4 linked regions of the Schizosaccharomyces pombe genome follow. Changing the gene in region 3 together with the main gene of any one other region gives a genetic interaction. Each region holds a gene or a part of one and is shown on either strand. Other genes may lie near its edges. The genes, in order: tcg1, sec72, aut12 and vps1.

Region 1 (4,092 bases), on a different chromosome or scaffold from region 3:
TAAAAATATAGCCGTTCAGCCCATCATGGATGCGATCATTGATTATCTTCCTAGTCCTGTAGAATTTTATGAAAAAAATGCTTCAAAAGAAACGAGTAGTGACAAAATAATCTCCCTGGATAAACGTCCTTTGCTTGCAAAGATTTTCAAGGTTATACATCATGCTTCTAGGGGAATTCTCACATATGTCAGAGTCAATGAAGGGACTTTAAGCCGAGGAATGATGATGTTTAATCCAAGAACTAAAAAGTCAGAAAGAGCAATTCGTTTATACAATGTATTCGCTGACCAGACTCAAGAAGTTGATTGCATTTCCGCTGGAAACATAGGAGTGATTAGTGGGATTAAACAATTTCATACCGGAGATATCATTATTAATAAAGAGAACTCAAAAAATTTTCATGAGTACCTTTCTGGAAATCAAAGTGTTATCAGTATTCCTGAACCTGTTTGCATTGCTTCTATAGAACCTTATTCGCTAAAAGATGAACCCGCACTTTTAGAAGCATTGGCTAACATGAATCGTGAAGATCCTTCATTTAGATATACCCAAGATTTAGAGAATGGACAACTATTGATACAAGGGATGGGCATTATGCATTTACAAGTTTCTTATGAAAGACTGGTGTCTGAATTTGGAGCTCGAGCATCTTTAGGAAAAGTTCAAGTTGGTTATCGTGAAACTTTGATTGATGTAAGCTTTAATTCAGTTACCTTAAGCACAGAAAATAAAGAGAATCTCATTATTAATGTTTACTTAATCCCTATTTCTGATGAAGGAGATGAAACCTTGAAAAAATATTTTTCTGAAGGTGAGATCCAAAAAGTTCGAAGTAAAGGGCAAGAAGATGGAGTTTTGTTTTATGGCTGGAAGCCGGAAAACTCGTGTACTTTACCGGATCATCTCTCTTTCCAACGTATTCAAGAAAACATCTACTTTGGAATAGTTGCAGGTCTATCGCATGGGCCTTTACATGGGTTTCCTCTCACGAATTTGCAGTCATTTTGTACCATTTCTTCTTTTCTATCTAATGACTTTCCGTTGTCACTTTTGACACAAGCATCGATGAAAGCTACCAAAAATGCAGTATTTTCATTATACAAGAGAAGTCCCAAAAGTTTCAGAATATTAGAACCTTATATGGATGTTACAATTACAACTCCTGAAGAATATGTTGGTATTGTTTCTAAAGATCTTGTAGGCAAGCGGGGAGCCACGATCAAAGAAATTACAGAGATTGGAAAGAATGCTGCTTCGAAAGACTCGCAGATAGCGATAGGAATATTAGGTGAAAGATATCTACCAGCTGATGAACCTAGTTCTGTTAAAGCAAACAATGCTTCTTCTCTACTACAGAGTTCATCTGTCATTAAATGTATTCGTGCTCAGGTGCCTTTGGAGCAGATTCTCGACTACAACAGTGTTATAAGCTCTTTAACAAAAGGTAATGCAAAATTTCTTATGTCTCATCCTATGGAATCTCAAACTCCCAAGCTGGTCAATTACGGTTCTTCCTTTCATCCTATGTCTATGCAGAGACAAAAACGAATATTTCCTTAAGGTCAGAAATGTGGGTTAATGGGTAAAATAAATACATAGAAAAAAAGATATAATTCTATTTTTCTATAAAAATCATCCTTATCATTAAAAAGCTGTATGTTTGACATTCTTTTTCTATACGTTTCGGTGTATGCATACACACACGTCTGCAACGGAGTTGTGTACATGTTGTCCCCAACGTCAGATGGAACCTACCGTTAGCATATATCGACTATAATTACTACAAAACGCCTAGACGAATTTAATGATGTCCGCTGAGGAAACTGTAACCCAAAACGCTCCTAATACTGTTCAAGATCAAGTTGAAGCATCTGTAGATGCTGCTGTACATGCATCTGCAGAACAATCTAACACACCTGCTCAACAAGCGGACGACTTTCGTGTTTTTGTAGGGCGTTTAAGTACGTCTACCAAAAAGAGTGAAATCCGTTCATTGTTTGAAACGGTTGGTACTGTGTATGTAAACTATTACTGGTTTTAGCAATTTCGAGTTAGAACAAAATTTTCTTATGTTTAAGCGCTAAAGCTAAAGCTCTCTCTATTAAAATCAGTGCATAATTTGGAGTTGTTGAAAATTTACTTTTTAGAAGTCATACTTTATATTTTTCACAAAAACGATTTTAAAACGGAGCTATGCGAGCTTATATTTACTCGAAACTATCTGTGCTACTTTAATTATATTTGATCATCTACTAATGCTTTTTAGTCGTAAAGTAACTATTCCTTTTCGTCGTGTTCGCCGTGGTACCCGTCTCGTACCTTCTGGCATTGCTTTTGTTACATTCAACAATCAGGAGGATGTTGACAAAGCTATAGAGACATTGAATGGTAAAACATTGGATGATCGCGAGATTGTTGTTCAAAAAGCTCGTCCTGTCCAAGAGCAACCTATAAAAGATAGGAAAAAGGTAAGTATACTTTAGTTCGCAAAGCTTTTATCAATATCATTCTGACACATTAGTCAAAAAATAAAAATGGTGAAGAACCTGAAACTTCAACTTCTGTCGAAAATGCTGAATCTGCTAAGGGCTCCAGTGATGAAAATGAAGCTAATACCGCAACAGCTCCTTCAAGTAATGAAGCAAATGGTGTCGATAAGAAACAAAATGAGATCAAAGGAAAGGGTGGGTCTGGTAAAAACAAGGCTAAGCCTTTGCCTCCCAACTCTATTTATGTTTCAGGCCTCTCCGTTACTTTAACAAATGAAGGCCTTAAAGAAATGTTCGATGCTTACAATCCTACTCGTGCTCGTATTGCTGTTCGTTCCCTTCCTCCTTATATTATTCGCCGTATAAAATTACGTGGTGAGCAACGTCGTGGTCGTGGTTTTGGATTTGTGTCTTTTGCTAATGCTGAGGATCAATCCAGAGCTATTGAGGAAATGAATGGAAAGCAAGTAGGTGACCTTACTTTGGTTGTTAAAAGTGCTGTCTTCCGTGAAGATAAGCAAAATGATGAAAATGAAAAAAATGAAAACGAACCTATTGAGGCTTCAGAATCTGCTCCCACTAACGTGTCTGATTCTACTGAGCCCAAAGCATCTGAGGTTGACTCAGAAGAAAAATCAGGCGTTACTGCTAGTGCTATAACTGCCTAAAAGTTAAAATATGATTTGTGATTATTCCTGGCTCTTCGTTCCTTTTATAATGAGCCTCGCCATTATACTTATATATGTCCCGAATACCCTCATGTTTCCGCACGTCACGTTCTCTCCCTTAGCATGGAACCCATGCATGTTCCTGGTAAAAAGTTGCAGCTTTGTAGACTAGACTATATTCATTGCTTGGAGTTCTGTGCCTTATATATTTTCCGTTTGTATCAAAAATACATTCGGGCCTATTGTTAAAAATAGTTTTGCATCTTTGTACATTTGAAACGTTAAAGTGCTTCAAGTAAAAATATACATTTTCTTCCAAAATTGTGAACGTTGTAATAATTGATTCACGCAAAATATAAGTAACTAGTTAAACGAATGTTATAGGCTTCTTAAGATTTAGAATCTATTGTGCTGCAATGTCTAAAACACAGGTGAGTATTAAATAACTTAAGTGCTTTGAGTCACATAAAAAGAGTCAGAGGATGCATTGTGAAGCATAGTTATTCAAAGAGAGCAGAAGTCTTTAATAACTTTAGCAATATAATAGAAATCTGATTCTTCTAAATACACCGCACCGCTAAGTCTAGTGTAAAATTTTCCTTTAAATTCCATAAATCGAAGGAATGTATTATATTTAGGCCAAAATACTTTCTGTGTTTCTATGGAGGGAATGTTGCGTAAGGGAACTTCGACGTTTACCATTGCAACTGGGTATGGAGGTTTGATAAAGGAAGTGCCCAGTTCTTTAGAAATAATTTCGGCTCCCTTTAAAGCTATTTCATGACAATATTGTTGAATCTTTTCTTCCCCTCCAATGGATTTTCGAAACTTAATAGCCTCACCAACAGCTATAAACTTAGGTAAATCTTGCTTGAAAGAATTGACAAACCGATTGGTAAGAGTATCTACGGCAATTGATTCCTTTTCTCTTAAT
Region 2 (8,047 bases), 3.7 Mb from region 3:
GCTGTAACTTCATGCTTCCTGATTATATCTTCCAAATCACTGGCTCCCTTTATTATTTTGTCATGGCAAAATTTTGTGAGTTTAATATGTTTTCTGTAAAGTAAATTTACCATTTGTACCTTGATGCTTCAACTCATAATGTACTCGTCTTTACTTTAAGCTATTCTATATTTAAAGGCCGCAGGGACATGAAATGAATAATAGAAGAGGATATTTCACGAAAAATCTTTAATTGATCGTTAAAAAAAAGGTCTCTGGTGTGTGTGGCAGTAGCATCTTCCTTCTGGCGTTGGATTACTACAAATACTGATTAGCTTACATGCAGAATATTAAGAGGTTGTTCAAGTTTTGAAAAAAACTTATTTAAAAGAAGGGCAATTTTTTAGAATAAAAAAGAAAGTTTACCAATAAGTTATCTAAAATTATAAAAGGATTATTTGTTTTACTAGAAGCTAATTTATTGAAATTAATTGAAAATCACTTTATTTATTCCTGTTGGGCATTCAGGTTTAATAGAATGTGACCCACACGATTAAAGTAATTTTTAAGTAGTTCTCTAAGTTGATCATCAAGGTTCTCCTTTGCAATCATAGAACAACAAGAAAAGTAAAGAGTGTGAATGTTTTCGGAAAATAATTCTAAAGGAAGATTCAGTATACTGTCCAGGATTGTAGCAATGACAGGCTGCCATGCAGCATGGTTACGCGTATGTTTCTCAACAACCAAGGAAGCATACATATCCAGCATTTCGGCACAAACCGGAAAAAGAAGTTTATGAATTTTCTGATCCGTTTCTGTTTTACCTAAAGGGTCTCTGGTTTTTAATAAGCGGAAGAGCAAAGTGATGTACAACAATGCACTAGCCGTTTCTTGTCTCAATAAATTAGGGAGTTGCTTCATAAATCCAACGTTCAAAAGCGTAATACGTAAAGATTTGTCTTCATTAAACTTGCGAGCAAACTGCCATGAGTCGTAAATAGCCACAGTTATTTTCAATACATGTTCATGGGGGATATGATTAAAAACTTCCTCGTTATCTAACAATTCAGCAACAATACTTATTAAAAGTAGTTGAAGAATACATTTTCGAATCATTGAACGGAACTCCATCTGTTTCTCAGGGGAAATTGAGGATGTCGAAATTGAACGAGAAGTTTCCGGTAGAGAACCGCCTCGCTTATGGCTCAATTGAGTATTTTCATTTTCGGAGTAAACAGGGGCTCCTTGCCCATTGGAAAATGTTTCTAGAAGAAGAAGCTGATGAGGGGTGGTTTCCTTGAATAACTCAATAAACATATCAGCGACCAGATTCCAATCTTTAACTTCAAACCTATACGCATTTCCAGAAAGTAGCTGCTGCATACAATTTGTTCCTATGCGAGAAAGTGTAATATTATCTCTACAAATGCAATTGCTAAATAACCATAGATAACCTTTTAGCAAATTGTGAAGTTTGTCAAAACGGCGTGTTAACAAAGTGACGAGACTTCGTAACGCTTCAACAAGAGTAGTAGATTGCCAAGTCCTGATCTCCTCATCCCTTAACATAACAGTCGCTTCATCCGCTTCTGGTCCAAATATTGAGAATATCGGGAATATAAATTTTCGTGAAACAACTTCCCAAGTTTCTTCAGTGAAATCATCAGACTCTTCTAAGAATATATAAAATAAGTTTTGAAGAGCTCTTGACCTTACTTCCAAGTCTTCAGCTGACATTATTATATCATAATATGCAAATAAAACTGGGAAAACATATTTAGAAAATGTCTCATTTACTGAAGGCTTGGAACTAAGTCCTTCCTTTATCATAGTTGAAAGACTTGAATAAACTTCTCTAATAATTTCCAAACTTTGTAAAGAGATTTTCTGGTTTGTTCCATTTTTGCATAATTCAGTGAAGGATATCAACATATCTATCAAACAATTTTGCTGCATTAAAGTATCATAATGCTCGGAAAAAAGATTGACAAGGGTATCAAAAGTCATAGAAATTAATATTTCGCTTCTAGCCTTAGCCGCAAATGTAAAAACGCCAAACAAAGTTTTCCATCCAGATTTTATTTTGGAAATTTTAGCTTGAATCATTTGCTTAACACATTGTAAAACAAGTTCTTTGACTTCTACTACGGTATCGGAAGCCATAACGTACTCAAATGGCTTAAGGAATTCTTTCTGAAAGGAAAAGAGAGACAACTCCTCAATTTCGAGAAAATGCATAGAAAGCTGCCTCAGGGAATCCAATGCAAAAACAGCAACATGCCTATTCTCATCACTACCCACCATGTTGAAGAATCTACCCAAAACGTTCCAAATTGATGACCATTCCACTCTAATCCTTTGCATGTTATAATAGGATATCTCAACCAGCTTTTGTAGACTATATAGCCTTGGCTGCTCCAAATCACTAGAAGATGTTATTTCATCCCAAGAAACTTCACATAATGCTTTAAAGAATGATACTATCGCAGAGCCAGAAAGAGAAGATGTTTGGGTAAATATTCTATCAATGCTCAACACTACCTCAGTGGACATTAGTTCTGAAACTGCCTCTGGGGATAAAGGTTTAGATAGTGAGCGAGTTCTAGTCGAACGAGAAGTACTTCCACTAACATGCCGAATTGAGTTTGAAGAACCAATGTTCACATTCTTTCGACGAACACGTGCATTTATAACATCAGGTACTTCTGTTTCATCGACACCAACACCAATCAGTTGCACGCGTTCTAGTTGACTTATAATAGTAAGGATATCTTTCCAAGAATCTTTCAAATTATTACCTTCGGTAGATGCAATTCTCAGTAATGTTTTTATAACCATAGTATTACGTAATTTGATTTCACTGGTAGAATGCAGATTAGTAAAATTAGTCAGAGTTTTTATAAAAGCGTCTCGAATAAGGTCAAGGTCAAAGAGACAAGCTATACGGACAACAAGCTGAAATCCATCAAGACACATATTAAGTTCATTAACATAATCAGAATTTTGTAAAGGGTTTGAAAGAGCAGCAAGTATAGGCATCCAAGTAGCCTCAAGCATGGGACCTATATGTTCAAAATGAGTAGCATTGTAATAAACATTTGTTTTTTGTGATCCATGTTTCTGTTGATACAATAGCTTTTTTAGCACACTTGTAGCCTTATTAGCCATTTCCTCCGAAGCTTGAATACAAGCTACTCTTTGCAGATCTCGTCCATTAGAAGTAAATGTGGTGAATCCACTAGATGTGCTGAAATTATTCATTAAAGGAGCAATCGCTGCGAGTTCTTGATCATCTTTCATAGCAATTTCATTTTTAAGAATGTCATCATATACAAAACCAAGATAGTCTTCATCTAAATCAGCACCGTCATTAATTCCACGATTATTTTTAATGAAGTCTTCTTTTGTCATTTTGTTTTTAATACGAGGAGAATGCAAATCAGTATTAAGCAATATTATAGAATAAGCAAGAATGTAGGCAGTATCAGCATTAGCGAATGCAGACGGATTCTCCTTCATATACCTTTCGGAAAATTTCAGCATAATTCGATCAATTTTTTGGGCTTCACCGGGTAGTCTGAAACACTGCAATAGACGACGTAAAGCGTCTACAAACTTTAAATTTATAAAAGATAAACAATCAATAAATTCATGCATCACGGAAATACTTTTCTCATCCCCTTCTCCTAAGTAATCTCCTAAAGTAGTTTTGTCAATACCATCAGCACGAAACAGAAATTCAGCGATAGCTTTAGGATCATTTATGTCAACATATTCATTTTCTGAAAGCATCTTAAGACCTCTAGTAGGTTTGTAATTGAACTTGTTTATACAAGTCCGTAATAGCTTCTTTCGTTGTTTGTTTGATTCAAATTGTGAAGGATCTGCAAGTGCGATAGAACTACTGCTATGGGAATTTGCTTCAAACGATTGTTTTCCGTTATAATAAGGATTCGTCACAGGAGTATCAGACCTGGAAAGCGCATCATAATCTCCAACAAAACCTTGCTCATCCGTTGACACACCTCGGCGAGATAAATAAAGACCACTTTCGGCCCAATTTGATAAAGATTGCAAAATGTCAAGGACGCATTGCAAAGTCTTTAGCTTCAATTGAAAATCGCTAAATGTGGTAAGTTGAACCACTTCGGACTTTAACGAAGCAGAGTTCGTATTTAGAAAAGGGGTACTACTCCGTTCAGAAGATTCTAAAGAAGGAAGAATTTCTTCAATATCTTCGGATATCGTTTCCGAAGGACCATTGGTAGTAACTTTTGAGATTGAAAACAGCAATTGTTCGAAAACGTTGGTAGTGGAAGAACGATCACAATCGTAATTTATATACAACTCTACAAGAGCTCTTGGATTAAGACAGATTCTCTGGATGATTAACAAGGTATGGAGCTTCTGATTGTAGGAGGTGTTCTTGAGGTCTAACATCGGAAAATAAACTTCTCGAAAAAACACTTCAATTTCCTGTTTGAAGTGGGCACGCAAAGAAAAAACCATAAGATAAAAAATGTCACAACAGACTTCAAACACCTGGGGAACAGGACTTACAGCATTGCGAGATAATACTAGGCAAATATATTGACGGGAGGCATGAACAAGGGTCATTCCTTTAAGTGCTGGGATACCACGAAATTGGAGAGTAGGATCCATGAATAAGTCACTATTTTTTTCTAAAATGCGATATATAAGATGGAGACTAATTAATTTCGCGCGCATAGCTTGAGATCTGATATTACTGACTTTATCAGGCGAGGTTTGTCTGACAGCAAGTCGACACATGGATCGGAACACTAAAAACGCGTCTTGGATAGAGGAATTCTCAACACTGGTGACAGCTGGGTCATCTGCGTCAACTTTAACATGATCTAATGATGAAGTGCCAGCAGATGCCATAGAATGAAGAGTAATTTTCTTGTCAGGCTCATCCTCATCGTGAACCCAATTTTCCGTCACCGATGCATCTTCTTCCGGTAAAGCAGATGTAGAGTTCGACTGAGTGTGGCTCGCGCGTAATCGTTCATAGACTACAGTGACAGCCTGAGTCAAAGAAGCTTGAGCAACTGACTGTATAGTATCACTATCCCCGAGAAGAAAGACATTAAAGAGTTTACGAACAGAATTCAATAATATCGCTCCATGAAGCATACTATCCTGCTCAGAACATAAGATAAAGGCAGATAAAGCTTTTACAACATTCAATTGCAGATTTCCATCAACAACTTCATCATTGATACTATCGCATACCATATCAACCATACACTGTAGAAGGGATTTAGGGGGCCCAAATGAGGCAGGTGTTTTATCTTTTGAAGAAAAATAGGCGAATGAAGCAAGTTTAGAAATAGTGTCTAAAGAAATGTTCATAACTTCATCTTGACTGGATTCAAAGCAGTACTGAAATAACTCTACTATCAAAAATTTGTCAAACTGACATTCGGTTTGTAGAAGAGGTTTTAGTTGCTCCATTAAATTCTTCATCTTCTCGTTCTTCATACAAACTTTTATTTGTATAAGCTGCTCGATGCACTTTATAAGCACTACATGAGTGGATTTTTCCAAATTGGTTAAACCTGATTTTTGCTTTTCCAAACTGGCCCTCGATGCAGCGTCAGGTACAGGCGTCGCGATAGTTTCATTGGATTTTTTGTCGTCTTTCAAGTCTTCTTCTTGATATTTCTGCTCGATTCCTTCGGGACTCTTTTCGTTTTCTTGTTTCGCTGGCGACAACGACGAATCTTCTGTATTTATATCAATACTTACCACAGCATCGCCTTCTAAACTTTCAGAAGCAACACGACCGAGATCCATACCATTTTCATCATCTTCGTTGTCAGAATCATTAATAATTTTAGTAACTGATGTTGTTCCAACTTCTGGAAGATCTTCGTGTCTGTCATGTTGCTCATTCACGGAGTTCATAGGCAGAGCAGGCATATTGATCACAGGTTCAGAGGCATCCTGCATTTTGGCATCGGTCACGTTCAAGCCAATTGCCGTCTAGACGAGCCAACTTTTAGCAATGAAATATAAGGCGGAGTATGTCTTTGCTAAGTGTTTTCGGCCTTAATGTGTCGAACGTTAGATCTCGGTTCAATGTGCTACTTATATAAAGCAAACGAGCGAGACTTATAATAAATTGTTTTATTACAGTATGGATTAAATAGTAAACATTATAACTAGATTTATACAATATTCGTTGTTTTACTGAAACTTTTATTGTCGATATTGACCGTGAACGTTTTCTTATTTCTTTTTTACAGGACAGCATTCCTTAAACTGTAAAAGGATTAAGGAATTAAACAAAATGTACGATTTCTACCATTTTAAACATGTTCTAAAAAAAAGAAACAAACAAAGTTAAGTATTAATATTAGGCTACATTTTTTCGTCCCCTTAAAAATCCCAAAAAAAAATATCATAAAGTTTAAGAAAAGGATATCAGTCCAAGGTTTCAAATTGACCATTTAAAAATTCGACAAACATTTCCTTGAGAACATTGGTATTATATGATTGTTGCCGGTTAATTTGGATAAATTGACGGCGCAATCTTTGAAGTAAAGGAAGAGATACTGTAACACTGGGTAATGCGATTTGAAGTTTGCTCCCTGGTACAGTAATCAAGGAGGTATCGTTGGAATTATCCAGTATAAGCATGATTACGTCTTGAGTAGTTTTATCTAATTCATATAAATAGTTGACTTCAGCTGGAGGTTTTACCATTGTAGCTTGGTTAGGCTTGACATTTTTGTTATGAATAAGAACTGACCAGATGTCATCGATAGGACAAGAAGCATCATCGTGCAAGACAGTAAATAAAGGGGAATCCCATCGTGTCATTCCATTCGGTTCTTCATAACGAAACATTAATTGCTCAAGAACATCGTCAGGATACGGCTGTTCCTTGTTACTATTGAATTTTCGACATAAATCTTGAGGAACAGCAACATGAATCACACAATGAGTTGTGTACATAGACTTTGATTCACAATATAACTGGTATCGAAATCCTTTTATGTAATTCAAGGCATCGCAAATTACGAATGTAGATTTTGAAAGTTCACGCTGAACAGCAGAATAGAGAAGGCCACGAGCGGCCTTTTCGTTCTTGGACTCTAAGACAAATTAGTTACCAGAATTACGAAAAATTGCATATACGGATTCTCCCATCATCTAGAGTAGCTGGGCACAATCTGAAGCCAAAAATGAATTGGCTAATTTCCAAAAACTAAATCATTAAAGATAACTATTTAAACATACCTCGATATGTTTCTTTTTCAATGTTTAAACTCTCATCGTTTATTATTATCACCCGATAATCCTTTGTATTGTCGATATTTTGATGAATTCGATCTTCTAAAGCCTTTTTAAGTTCATTTGACCTCGTTGTTTTCCCTGAAGATGGATAACCTGAAACAATTATTAATGGCATTTTCTTTATGTTCTACAAAATAGAAGGTTGAATAAAATCAGCCGTAAAACATATGTTTGAAAACTTCCAGCTTTTTTTTGATATATTTTTTCATGAATTTAACGAAAATTACTAGTTCGTTAAACATTAGTAAACAGTTAATTTTTATCCTTAATTTGTATTTCGTAATGCGCTCAATTTCGGTACTGACTTATTACTTACGACTAGTAAGTATTGCTTAGGCTTAAAAACACAGTAATTTCAATTTGCGGTCTCTTTAATTTAATCTTGCTTCCCTTTACCTTATCAATTGTTCTAAAAGAATTAAGGATTAACACTAGTAAGACCCCGGATTTTAATCGCTAAAAAAACATGCACGCCTTCTACGCAATCAGGGTTGTTCAATTTAAAAATAGTAATCATTTGTTGAAAGATTTTAAAGGTGCATAGGACATCAAGAAATATAAGCTAAATGCAGTTGATTAAAAGTTAGAAAAGTATCTACTTATGCCGCCATTAACATGTATCTGGTAAAATGCGACTAACTTATAACACATGTTGTATACCAGTCCAATGATTAATTTAGTACCCTGGAAAACGTCTTGAATATTGGGTAAAGAAAAATCAGAACTTAAAGAAACCTAGGCT
Region 3 (4,244 bases):
GCGTTCAAGTTCGGCAAGCTTGCCAGTTGTGTCTACACGAACCCTAGCACCAAAAACTTTCACTTTATCCGTATCCATAGCCGTATTAGCAATTAAAATGTTAGCATTTTCCATAACTTTGGGACAGTTAACACCAATAGTTTTATTGAGAATAAATCCCTCATCAAGGAAGGAGTCATCAAGTTTACCACCAAGGATCTTAATAATTTGAATGTTATCCAAGTTCGTGCTACCTTTCAAGCGAAGCACTGCATCAACAGCCAGCTGAGCAAAATGGTTTTTATTCTGAGATAAGATTTTGGAAGACAGAGTAGTTCTGGCAATATTCTCGAGGTCACTACGAAATTTAGCAGGATCACTAGAATTATCAATAGAGGAAGCACGAAGAGCATCGATAGCAGTTTTAGTAGCAATACGATAACCATCGATAATCACTTGAGGATGTATTTTTGCATTGACCATAATTTCTGCTTGACGAAGAAGTTCAGCAGCGAAGACACACACACTGGTAGTACCGTCGCCAACTTCATCATCTTGGACTTTTGAGATATTCACTAAAACTTTAGCAGCTGCATTATCCAAAGCTATAGACTTAAGAATGGTAGCACCGTCATTTGTCACAACAATATCACCCGAAGAGTTTGATTGTAAAATTTTGTCCTATAAATCGTTAATTAAAAATTTTTTCTATGTAGATTTGACCTTACCATTCCCTTAGGACCTAAAGTGCTTTTTACCAAATCGCCCACAGCAATTGCACCCACAAACGATGAAAGACGGGCATTTTCACCCCGCTCTTGGATGCCACTTTCGTTAAAAATCTGATGAGGATTTAAAGACTATATCGTTAGTACGGTTTTTACACATGATATTACCATTTCCAGATAGTGTACGATAAACCCAGAGTTGCGGTGGTTGAGTGGAAAGTAGCTTACAGCGAACAAGAAGCTCGTCGCAACAACGTAAGCCGTAGCTTACCAGGCATGTACCAGCGACTGTATATTTCTAGTTTTGGATCGTAAATAATATTATAATCAAATATTTTTATAATATATATATTTCATTCTCTTACGTTCATATTCATGCAAAAGAAAATAATGAGACAGCTTTTAAGCATTGCTATATAAAACACTATTCTATTACTCTCAAATATAAAATATCAAAAAATTAAAAGATTTCCTATATCTATTCAAGTCTCTATGAAGTTAATACCGACTACTGAGCATGTTCAACAAACTAGATGATGGTTGGCTTAATCGAGTGTTTTATTATTGCTCAAAATGAAATATGAAGCGTCGATTAAAGATTTCAACTGATTTTTTATTTTCGATTCCCTGTATGACTTGTGTTTTCTTACAAGTACTAGACTAATGTTTTTGTTTTGGAGCAATATAGATATTGAAAGAACCAATGCGCAAATCTCAATTCTATTCAATATTAGATGGAACCATCTCGAAAAGTTAGCCAACAAGTTTCTAGATCTTTAAATGTGAATACCATCCTTAGACCTTGAGAAGTCAAGGATAAGCAGCATTTTAGTTGAAACGATAGATCAGTGATCACTCCTAAATAACTCAATATAAACAGTTTGTAGTAATACATCTAGCGCTATATTCTAAGCGCTTTTTAACATTAATTTCTTAACCAAAGAGTATTCTTAGTTTAGAGCGCGTACATTTCATAGAACGTGTAATTATTAGTTTTATTTTAAATTCAGTACTGTTCTCTGTATACAATTGACTTCCATGTAAACGTATCTTGAATGCCATTTAGTTGTAATATGAAATTCTTTGCCGAAGACTCAGCCATTCCAATCTTCCCTTTTGAATTACCTATACAACTAGGTACGAAATCATCTTCGGCACAATATCTTTATGATTGCACCGCAAAGTTGAGTTTCAACATTTATTTAAAGAATCAATAATTATTTTTTATTCAATAAAAAGCAAAATATTTAAAACGCCTTCTTTTCCCTTAATTTTAACCGTAAATGAGTGAATGAAGCGAGGTTAGCATTATTACAACAGCTACAGTCCTCCTTATTCAATCCATCCCACTAATGAAAACAGCCAGTTGATGGAACCAACATCTGAGCATTCATCAATCAAGGAGGAAGTGGAAAATGATAACGTTCATAGATCTCATGAGTCGGAATGTGGATCACTGCTGTTAAACCCTGGTAATGTTCTAATGGCAGCGCCTTCGGTGTCAGAGGATGATCAAGAAGTAAGCAGGTCTACACCAGAATTGCGAAGCCACGTGGAAAACGTTGAACAATTACTTTCTGATATATTGCATGATAATTCCTCTCCGCTTAATGTAAGCACTTCAGTATCGAGCAGTAGTAACAATACGGCTGTTGATGAAATTATAAAACTACTTTCGTTGATATCTTTTGATTTGGCAAAACAAAAGCGCACATATTTGATATTCTCTTCATCAGGGAAGCCCGTGTTTAGTAACATTGTTGATGATTCAATTGAGCCATCAACCGTTGGCGCGTTACAAGCAATTATTAGCTCTTTCGAAGTGTCGAAAGAAGAGCTAACAAGCTTTTCTACCTTTTCCAATGTTATCGTTGTTCTCTCCAAAAATCCTCTTTATCTTGTTGGCGTATCGCCATCGACAACTTTAAGCGCAGCATATTTACTCAGTGAGTTAAACCTCTTATATTGCCAAATACTTACTGGGGTTACTGCGAAAGCTATGCAGCTGACCTTAAACTCCCGCCCAAATTTTGATTTGAGAAGACTTATTGGAAGCAACGAGCAGTTCCTAAAAGAACTATGTGATCAACTTAATGATTATGAATTAGTCCCCACATTGAATGCCATATCTCCTCTTCCTTTACGTTCCTCTTTTCGTGATCAGCTGTCGCAACTGCTGTTGAGAGAAACACCCAAATCTCTGCTGTTTACTTTTATAGCTATACGAGGTCGGCTTGTTTGTATGGTTAAGGCGAAGAAGCTTTTATTACATGCTAATGATCTCTATTTACTTTTCCTATCACTCTTCCGCACACAGTCTTTTAATGATTCAATGGAGCATTGGGTGCCTGTTTGTTTTCCTACTCTAAATCCAGATGCTTATATTTACATTTATAGCTATTTCCTATGTAAGGACACTGTCTTGATAATGGGGAGCAGCGAAAGTGGTGTCTTTTTTGAAATGCAATCAGTGAAATGCAAAGTTGCTCAGGAAATTCAGGATCATGGATGGTTGAAAAAGCTCATTTATTGTGAAGAAATGGATAGAACTACGCCAAGGAATCCCGGATCTCCTTGTATTTCACATTACTTGTTTTATTCAAAGAAATACTCACAGTTTTATACTCCTGGCTATTCATTTTCAACTCCCAATTTCAATACTAGGTACGTATACAATGATCTATTTTTCTTTACAATTTCAATACGATCGCTATCTTTGGGCTCATTTGCTTTGCTAACTATGTTTTTAGAACTCTTTATGCTATTTATGCTAGCTTACACGACCAGGCATTTCACAAAAAAAATTCTTTCTCAATTAATATGACTGTCCATGAATCTTTGCTTCTATTCACGTGGTCAACTGCATCGTTCGACTTTCATTGTATTGCTAACGCTACCACTAGCAGTCAACTGCTTATTGCAAATGTTAATAAGATTTTGAGATGGATACGAAGGGAGGAGAATCGATTATTTATACAAACAAACCTTTCGTTTTGATAATGAGCATGTAAAGTTTAATGAAATTCATTTCTTTTTATTTTTTATGATGTTTTGACAGTAAAATATTTAAAAGAGCGGTGATTGCTTCCAACAGCTTTATTAATTTTTCTTTTTCCTTTTTTTGTTTTAATTTATTAATATCAGCATCATTTTACTCACATAAATTTCCGACTGTATGAACTTAATATCATAGCGAGTCAACCGCGCCATTACCTAAATCACCACCAACCCTATTTAAGTACTAAACAATCGAAATGTTTGGTGGTTTAAAGAACTTTATTAAAGAAAAATCAGAAGCTTTAGCTGGTATTCATCGAGAATCAGATGAATCATGTGGTTTCAGAGTATTAAAGGTTGAAAACGATTCGAAAGCCTATAATGCCAGAATTGAGTCTTATTACGATTTTATAACGGCAGTGAATGGGATCTTACTGGTATGAACTGATTATAGTTTTATCATTACTAAAGTGTTTTTCACAGAATGGAGACCCTTCAATGTTTATGGCTTTGCTTCGTGATTCTTCCCCCGAAGTAACT
Region 4 (5,079 bases), 1.4 Mb from region 3:
GATAACAGTGCACGTTCTATTTCTTCCCACTCTGCAGCGCTTTTTTGAGATTTTCTAGCTAATAAATAATTAATCAATTTTGGAAGTAAGATTGGTACCGGCAAATTATTTAATGATGTATCAACTAGTCTGATCTTCTTGTTATGGTAATGAAAAGCATGGCACAATTGGTTGGAGCTCAGAAGTGCTTTCAATCCCCCAGCTAGAGAAACAGCCAACTTATTAGGGGTAGAAATTTTCCTCAAATTGTCAGTTTCATCTTGGAATATTAGTAGATTAGCCTCTTTAATTGAAATTTCTTTGCTCTTGGCCTTTGCGTAAGCAAACAAAATTTGTACAGGTTTTAACAATAATTTGGCAAATAGCATTTCACGAGTGATATTTTTAAATAAAAAAGTAAAAATTCTTTTTAGGCTTTGCTTTTAATTAAGGATCACAGAATAAATAAAGGGTATGCCGCTTTTAAACGATTGAAACATTAATTAACGAAACCTTTGAAAGAATAAATAATTTGTCGAATTTTCTTCAACGAGCACATTAAGACAGTTTTGTTTTATTGACTTAAAAAAGACATGTATACTAAATTTATGTTGAAGACATTGAGTAAGTAGTGCATTGGTATGGTTATGGAGTAAGTGATCCTAGGAGGAGTACCAATCTTCCAGTCTCTTATTAAACGCTCGCTAGAGCATGAAGCAACCTATGCGTCGTAGCATTTGCTTAAAAATTTGGGTTTTACATGTATGCCGTTCATGTATAAACCTAACAGTATGCCGAATACAGAGAAGTTGGATTTTATAGTTAACCCAAATTTGCATCCTGTTTAGTAACAAATTTGTAAAAATTGTAATTTTATTGACAAAAAATTATTTACAAGATATCAAAGATATTGATTTGGCATTTGTATACGATAGAGGTGTCAAGAAACGAAGCAAAATGTGTAAGATTTTGACAAACTACTCCACGAGTTATACAACCATTTATTTTGATAACTAACTTTTGGAATGCTAGTATTATTTAGTTTTGGAGTCAAGAACCAAGACTTCATATGTTTCTCTATTTGTAAGTTTGCATATGGTATATTAATATGCTTTGATAAAAATTAGAGATATTATCCACTATGAAATTCGCTTCCATTTATTGCTAAAAAGGTCCCAATTGTTATTGGTTTTTTTCCAACAAAAAGCATAAATTGTTTGACGCTAAGGTGATTGCTAAAATTTGTCCAATGGCATGTGCAAATTGAACACACTTGTCGACTTCTAATCAGCAGCAAAACAGAGAATAATTAGCAAAAATTGCTGTTTCTATAAAGTCCATTCCCTTTTCCTACTGAACTAAAACTCGTTTTTGAATAAACTAGCGTATTGAGCACTGTCAGCTACGCGTAATGTAACCAATTTTTAAAACTGTGGTGGTAGTTTTATTTGAAATATACAATATTACGGTACGCAGCAAAACGCGTACTATATTATAAAGATTCTCGTAAATAGGTACTATTTTTACTTATCAGCAGAATAGCTTATAATTGTACTGAAAAACAAGGTTAAAGCAGTTTCCGTTAATTTTTTCAGTACTCAAGTATCAATGGGTAACTTTGTATTAAGATAAATAGCATTTCGCAATTATCATTAAAAGGATCTTTCCTGTTATTCCAACACAGGGCATATAGTGATACGCAACGTAGTAAAACGCAATATTAGTATATTATCGTTCGTTAAATATGGAATGATGCATCGCTTTAATATTACTTATCGAGGGTTAAACATTAGATTTATTGTCTAAAGTCTGACAACAACGTTTCAAGGGCATCACTGTTTCTTTTTTGGTAAATCAATTAGCAACACGATATTGTTAAGCCACCTTCAAGCAGCCTTACTGAAATCCGATTAGCGAGGTACTAATTTTATTCGACATATCCGAGTAAACACTACACTACCACAGCACATACCATCAGGTTTGTAACCGCCCATTCGTAAAATTGTCTATTTAGTGGATCCATAGTTGATAATGGATCCCTCATTGATTAAAGTTGTCAATCAACTTCAGGAGGCTTTCTCCACAGTTGGCGTTCAAAACTTGATTGACTTACCACAGATTACTGTATGTTGTGAATTTTAACTTAGATTGAAAAATTCACTAATAAATTGTTAGGTCGTACGGTCACAGTCAAGCGGTAAATCATCGGTTTTAGAAAATATTGTTGGGAGAGATTTCCTTCCTAGAGGAACCGGCATTGTAACAAGGCGTCCTTTGGTTCTGCAGTTAATTAATAGACCTAGCGCTAGTGGAAAAAATGAAGAAACAACTACTGATTCAGATGGAAAGGACCAGAATAATTCATCTGAATGGGGAGAATTCCTCCATCTTCCCGGACAAAAGTTCTTTGAGTTTGAAAAGATTCGTGAAGAAATCGTTAGAGAAACAGAAGAAAAAACAGGAAAGAATGTTGGCATTTCTTCGGTTCCTATCTATCTTCGTATTTACTCTCCTCATGTGCTTACTCTGACACTAGTAGATTTACCTGGTCTTACAAAGGTACCGGTTGGTGACCAACCTCGAGATATTGAAAAGCAAATTCGTGAAATGGTTTTGAAGTATATATCTAAAAACAATGCCATTATATTGGCTGTAAACGCTGCCAATACTGATTTGGCAAACTCAGATGGTCTCAAACTTGCTAGAGAAGTTGACCCCGAAGGTCTTCGCACTATCGGTGTATTGACCAAGGTTGATTTAATGGATAAAGGTACGGATGTGGTAGATATTCTAGCTGGACGTGTTATTCCATTGAGACTTGGGTATGTTCCAGTCATAAATCGCGGTCAAAAGGACATCGAAGGGAAGAAGTCTATTCGTATAGCTCTTGAGGCAGAAAGGAACTTTTTTGAAACGCATCCTTCCTATGGTTCTAAAGCGCAATACTGCGGTACTCCATTTCTAGCTCGTAAACTAAATATGATATTGATGCACCATATTCGGAACACCCTTCCCGAAATTAAAGTTCGTATTAACGCTGCTTTAGCCAAATATCAGGCCGAACTACATTCTTTGGGGGACACTCCTGTTGGCGACAACTCCAGTATTGTACTAAATTTAATTACTGACTTTTGCAACGAATATCGCACAGTTGTGGACGGCCGTAGTGAAGAGCTTTCTGCTACGGAGCTTTCAGGAGGAGCTCGTATTGCGTTCGTATTTCATGAAATTTTTTCGAATGGTATTCAAGCAATTGATCCATTTGATGAAGTTAAGGATTCGGATATTCGCACCATTTTGTACAATTCATCTGGCCCTTCTCCTAGTTTATTTATGGGTACTGCTGCATTTGAAGTTATTGTCAAGCAACAAATTAAGCGTTTGGAGGATCCTTCCTTGAAGTGTGTTTCCCTCATTTACGACGAACTTGTCCGTATTTTAAATCAATTGCTTCAACGTCCCATATTTAAACGTTATCCTCTTTTGAAAGATGAATTTTACAAGGTTGTTATTGGTTTCTTTAGAAAATGTATGCAACCCACTAATACCCTTGTAATGGATATGGTTGCCATGGAAGGTTCTTATATAAACACTGTTCATCCAGACTTTTTATCTGGACATCAAGCAATGGCGATTGTTCAAAGTCAGAATAGTAAGCCGATACCCGTTGACCCTAAAACTGGAAAAGCACTTACAAATAACCCCGTTCCTCCAGTTGAAACTTCATCATCTTCGGGACAGAATTTCTTTGGAAGCTTTTTTGGTTCTAAGAATAAAAAGCGACTTGCAGCTATGGAGCCTCCTCCACCGGTTTTAAGAGCTTCTACTACTCTCTCAGACCGCGAAAAGACTGATACTGAAGTTATTAAACTACTTATTATGTCCTATTTCAACATTGTTAAAAGGACATTGGCCGATATGGTACCTAAATCCATTTCTTTGAAAATGATAAAATACTCTAAAGAGCACATTCAGCACGAGTTGCTTGAGCAGCTTTACAAGTCTCAGGCGTTCGATAAATTACTCCAGGAAAGCGAAGTGACAGTGCAACGTCGTAAAGAATGCGAACAAATGGTAGAATCTCTCCTACAGGCAAGTGAGATTGTGTCTAACGTTTAATGATATAATGATAACAAACTGCTAAAATAACGAGGTTAAGTTACCTTATGAGATGATCTCATATCGATGAATGTCTTAATTGCTTTAAAGATCCTTGTTTTTTATTTTTCGTCACGCACTTTTCATCGCATATATTCTTGTCTTTACATGAACAATCATGTGAAGTTGCTCGCTTAAAATCGAAACTTTCGTTAAATCGATACTTATGTTTTCCTAGGGTTGTAGTGTCTTTAAATAAAGATTTCCCGAATGTAGCGTTAGGAAGACTCAATGAAGTTTTTATAAAAGTTTTTCAGTTACATTTAGATTATATTTAACGCCGATATGGTGTTATCTCAAGTTGGTTATTTTTTTTTATTAAATAACTACTCTATCAATACTACTTTATTCCCATATTTCCTGAATTACAAAATTGCAAGTGCACTCTAAAATCTCCTTAAAAAATAGGACAATTGAGTACGCAGTGTTATGCTAAATAAATACTGTAGTCTAACGTTTTTTAAAAGAAAACCACATTTGAAGTGTCGGCGTTTTATTCGTACACTGATGAGAAAATTCAGTTCAAAATACAATGACTAGTGCTGACATTCGGGATGTCTTTGAATTACCTCCTCCTGAAATAGGAAATAAGCAGAAATCTAAAACTCCAACAGAGAGAAGGCCAGAAGGAATTTCTCGAGAACTTTATTCATTGCTAGGCGAGAATTCTGCCCCGTTAGCAATATACCAAAAGAAATTTAAGGAAAAACCAAAAGTTAGTCACAAAGCTAAAAATTGGTGAGTAAATCAGAGCTCAAATAAATAAATTTGTGTATTCAGTAAGGAATTTACTAATTTGTAGGGTACGCCAGCCCTTTTCCATATCAAGCCGTAAGGATGATTTTACTTTGCATCATTGGGTCCTTAAATCAGAAGTAGATTCTGAAGCCTGTATGTTTGAAATTTTATTTGATAAGCGCTTGGTTAAACTAACCTAAACTG

Evidence for each region.
Region 1: mutations in aut12 (region 3) and tcg1 together harm fitness more than expected from each alone (negative genetic interaction), as found in Schizosaccharomyces pombe (one large-scale study listed by BioGRID).
Region 2: mutations in aut12 (region 3) and sec72 together harm fitness more than expected from each alone (negative genetic interaction), as found in Schizosaccharomyces pombe (one large-scale study listed by BioGRID).
Region 4: mutations in aut12 (region 3) and vps1 together harm fitness more than expected from each alone (negative genetic interaction), as found in Schizosaccharomyces pombe (one large-scale study listed by BioGRID).

Annotation. Positions count from the first base shown.
Region 1 is NC_003423.3:213,339-217,430, forward strand, and holds tcg1 (single-stranded telomeric-binding protein Tgc1), read left to right. Parts: upstream 1-1,760; 5' UTR 1,761-1,805; coding exon 1,806-2,017; intron 2,018-2,183; exon of another isoform or gene 2,184-2,267; coding exon 2,268-2,469; exon of another isoform or gene 2,470-2,522; coding exon 2,523-3,158; 3' UTR 3,159-3,563; downstream 3,564-4,092. Other genes in the region: mef2 (mitochondrial translation elongation factor G), read left to right, coding at 1-1,561; ergothioneine biosynthesis methyltransferase Egt2, read right to left, coding at 3,663-4,092. UniProt on the Schizosaccharomyces pombe protein: Binds single-stranded telomeric sequences of the type (TG[1-3])n in vitro. Has a role in meiosis.
Region 2 is NC_003424.3:4,386,470-4,394,516, forward strand, and holds sec72 (Sec7 domain-containing protein sec72), read right to left. Parts: upstream 6,025-8,047; 5' UTR 5,956-6,024; coding exon 487-5,955; 3' UTR 373-486; downstream 1-372. Other genes in the region: kti12 (elongator complex-associated protein Kti2), read right to left, coding at 6,430-7,103, 7,249-7,420. UniProt on the Schizosaccharomyces pombe protein: Guanine exchange factor that acts as an activator of arf1 at the trans-Golgi net-work and is thus involved in vesicular budding and traffic between compartments of the Golgi apparatus.
Region 3 is NC_003424.3:641,345-645,588, reverse strand, and holds aut12 (autophagy associated protein Aut12), read left to right. Parts: upstream 1-2,050; 5' UTR 2,051-2,076; coding exon 2,077-3,371; intron 3,372-3,457; coding exon 3,458-3,704; 3' UTR 3,705-3,744; downstream 3,745-4,244. Other genes in the region: chaperonin-containing T-complex beta subunit Cct2, read right to left, coding at 1-660, 708-839, 876-878; grh1 (GRASP family protein), read left to right, coding at 3,962-4,141, 4,188-4,244.
Region 4 is NC_003424.3:1,996,274-2,001,352, reverse strand, and holds vps1 (dynamin family protein Vps1), read left to right. Parts: upstream 1-1,937; 5' UTR 1,938-2,010; coding exon 2,011-2,103; exon of another isoform or gene 2,104-2,154; coding exon 2,155-4,098; 3' UTR 4,099-4,579; downstream 4,580-5,079. Other genes in the region: poly(A) polymerase Cid16, read right to left, coding at 1-368; Swr1 complex/NuA4 histone acetyltransferase complex subunit Swc4, read left to right, coding at 4,670-4,875, 4,940-5,028.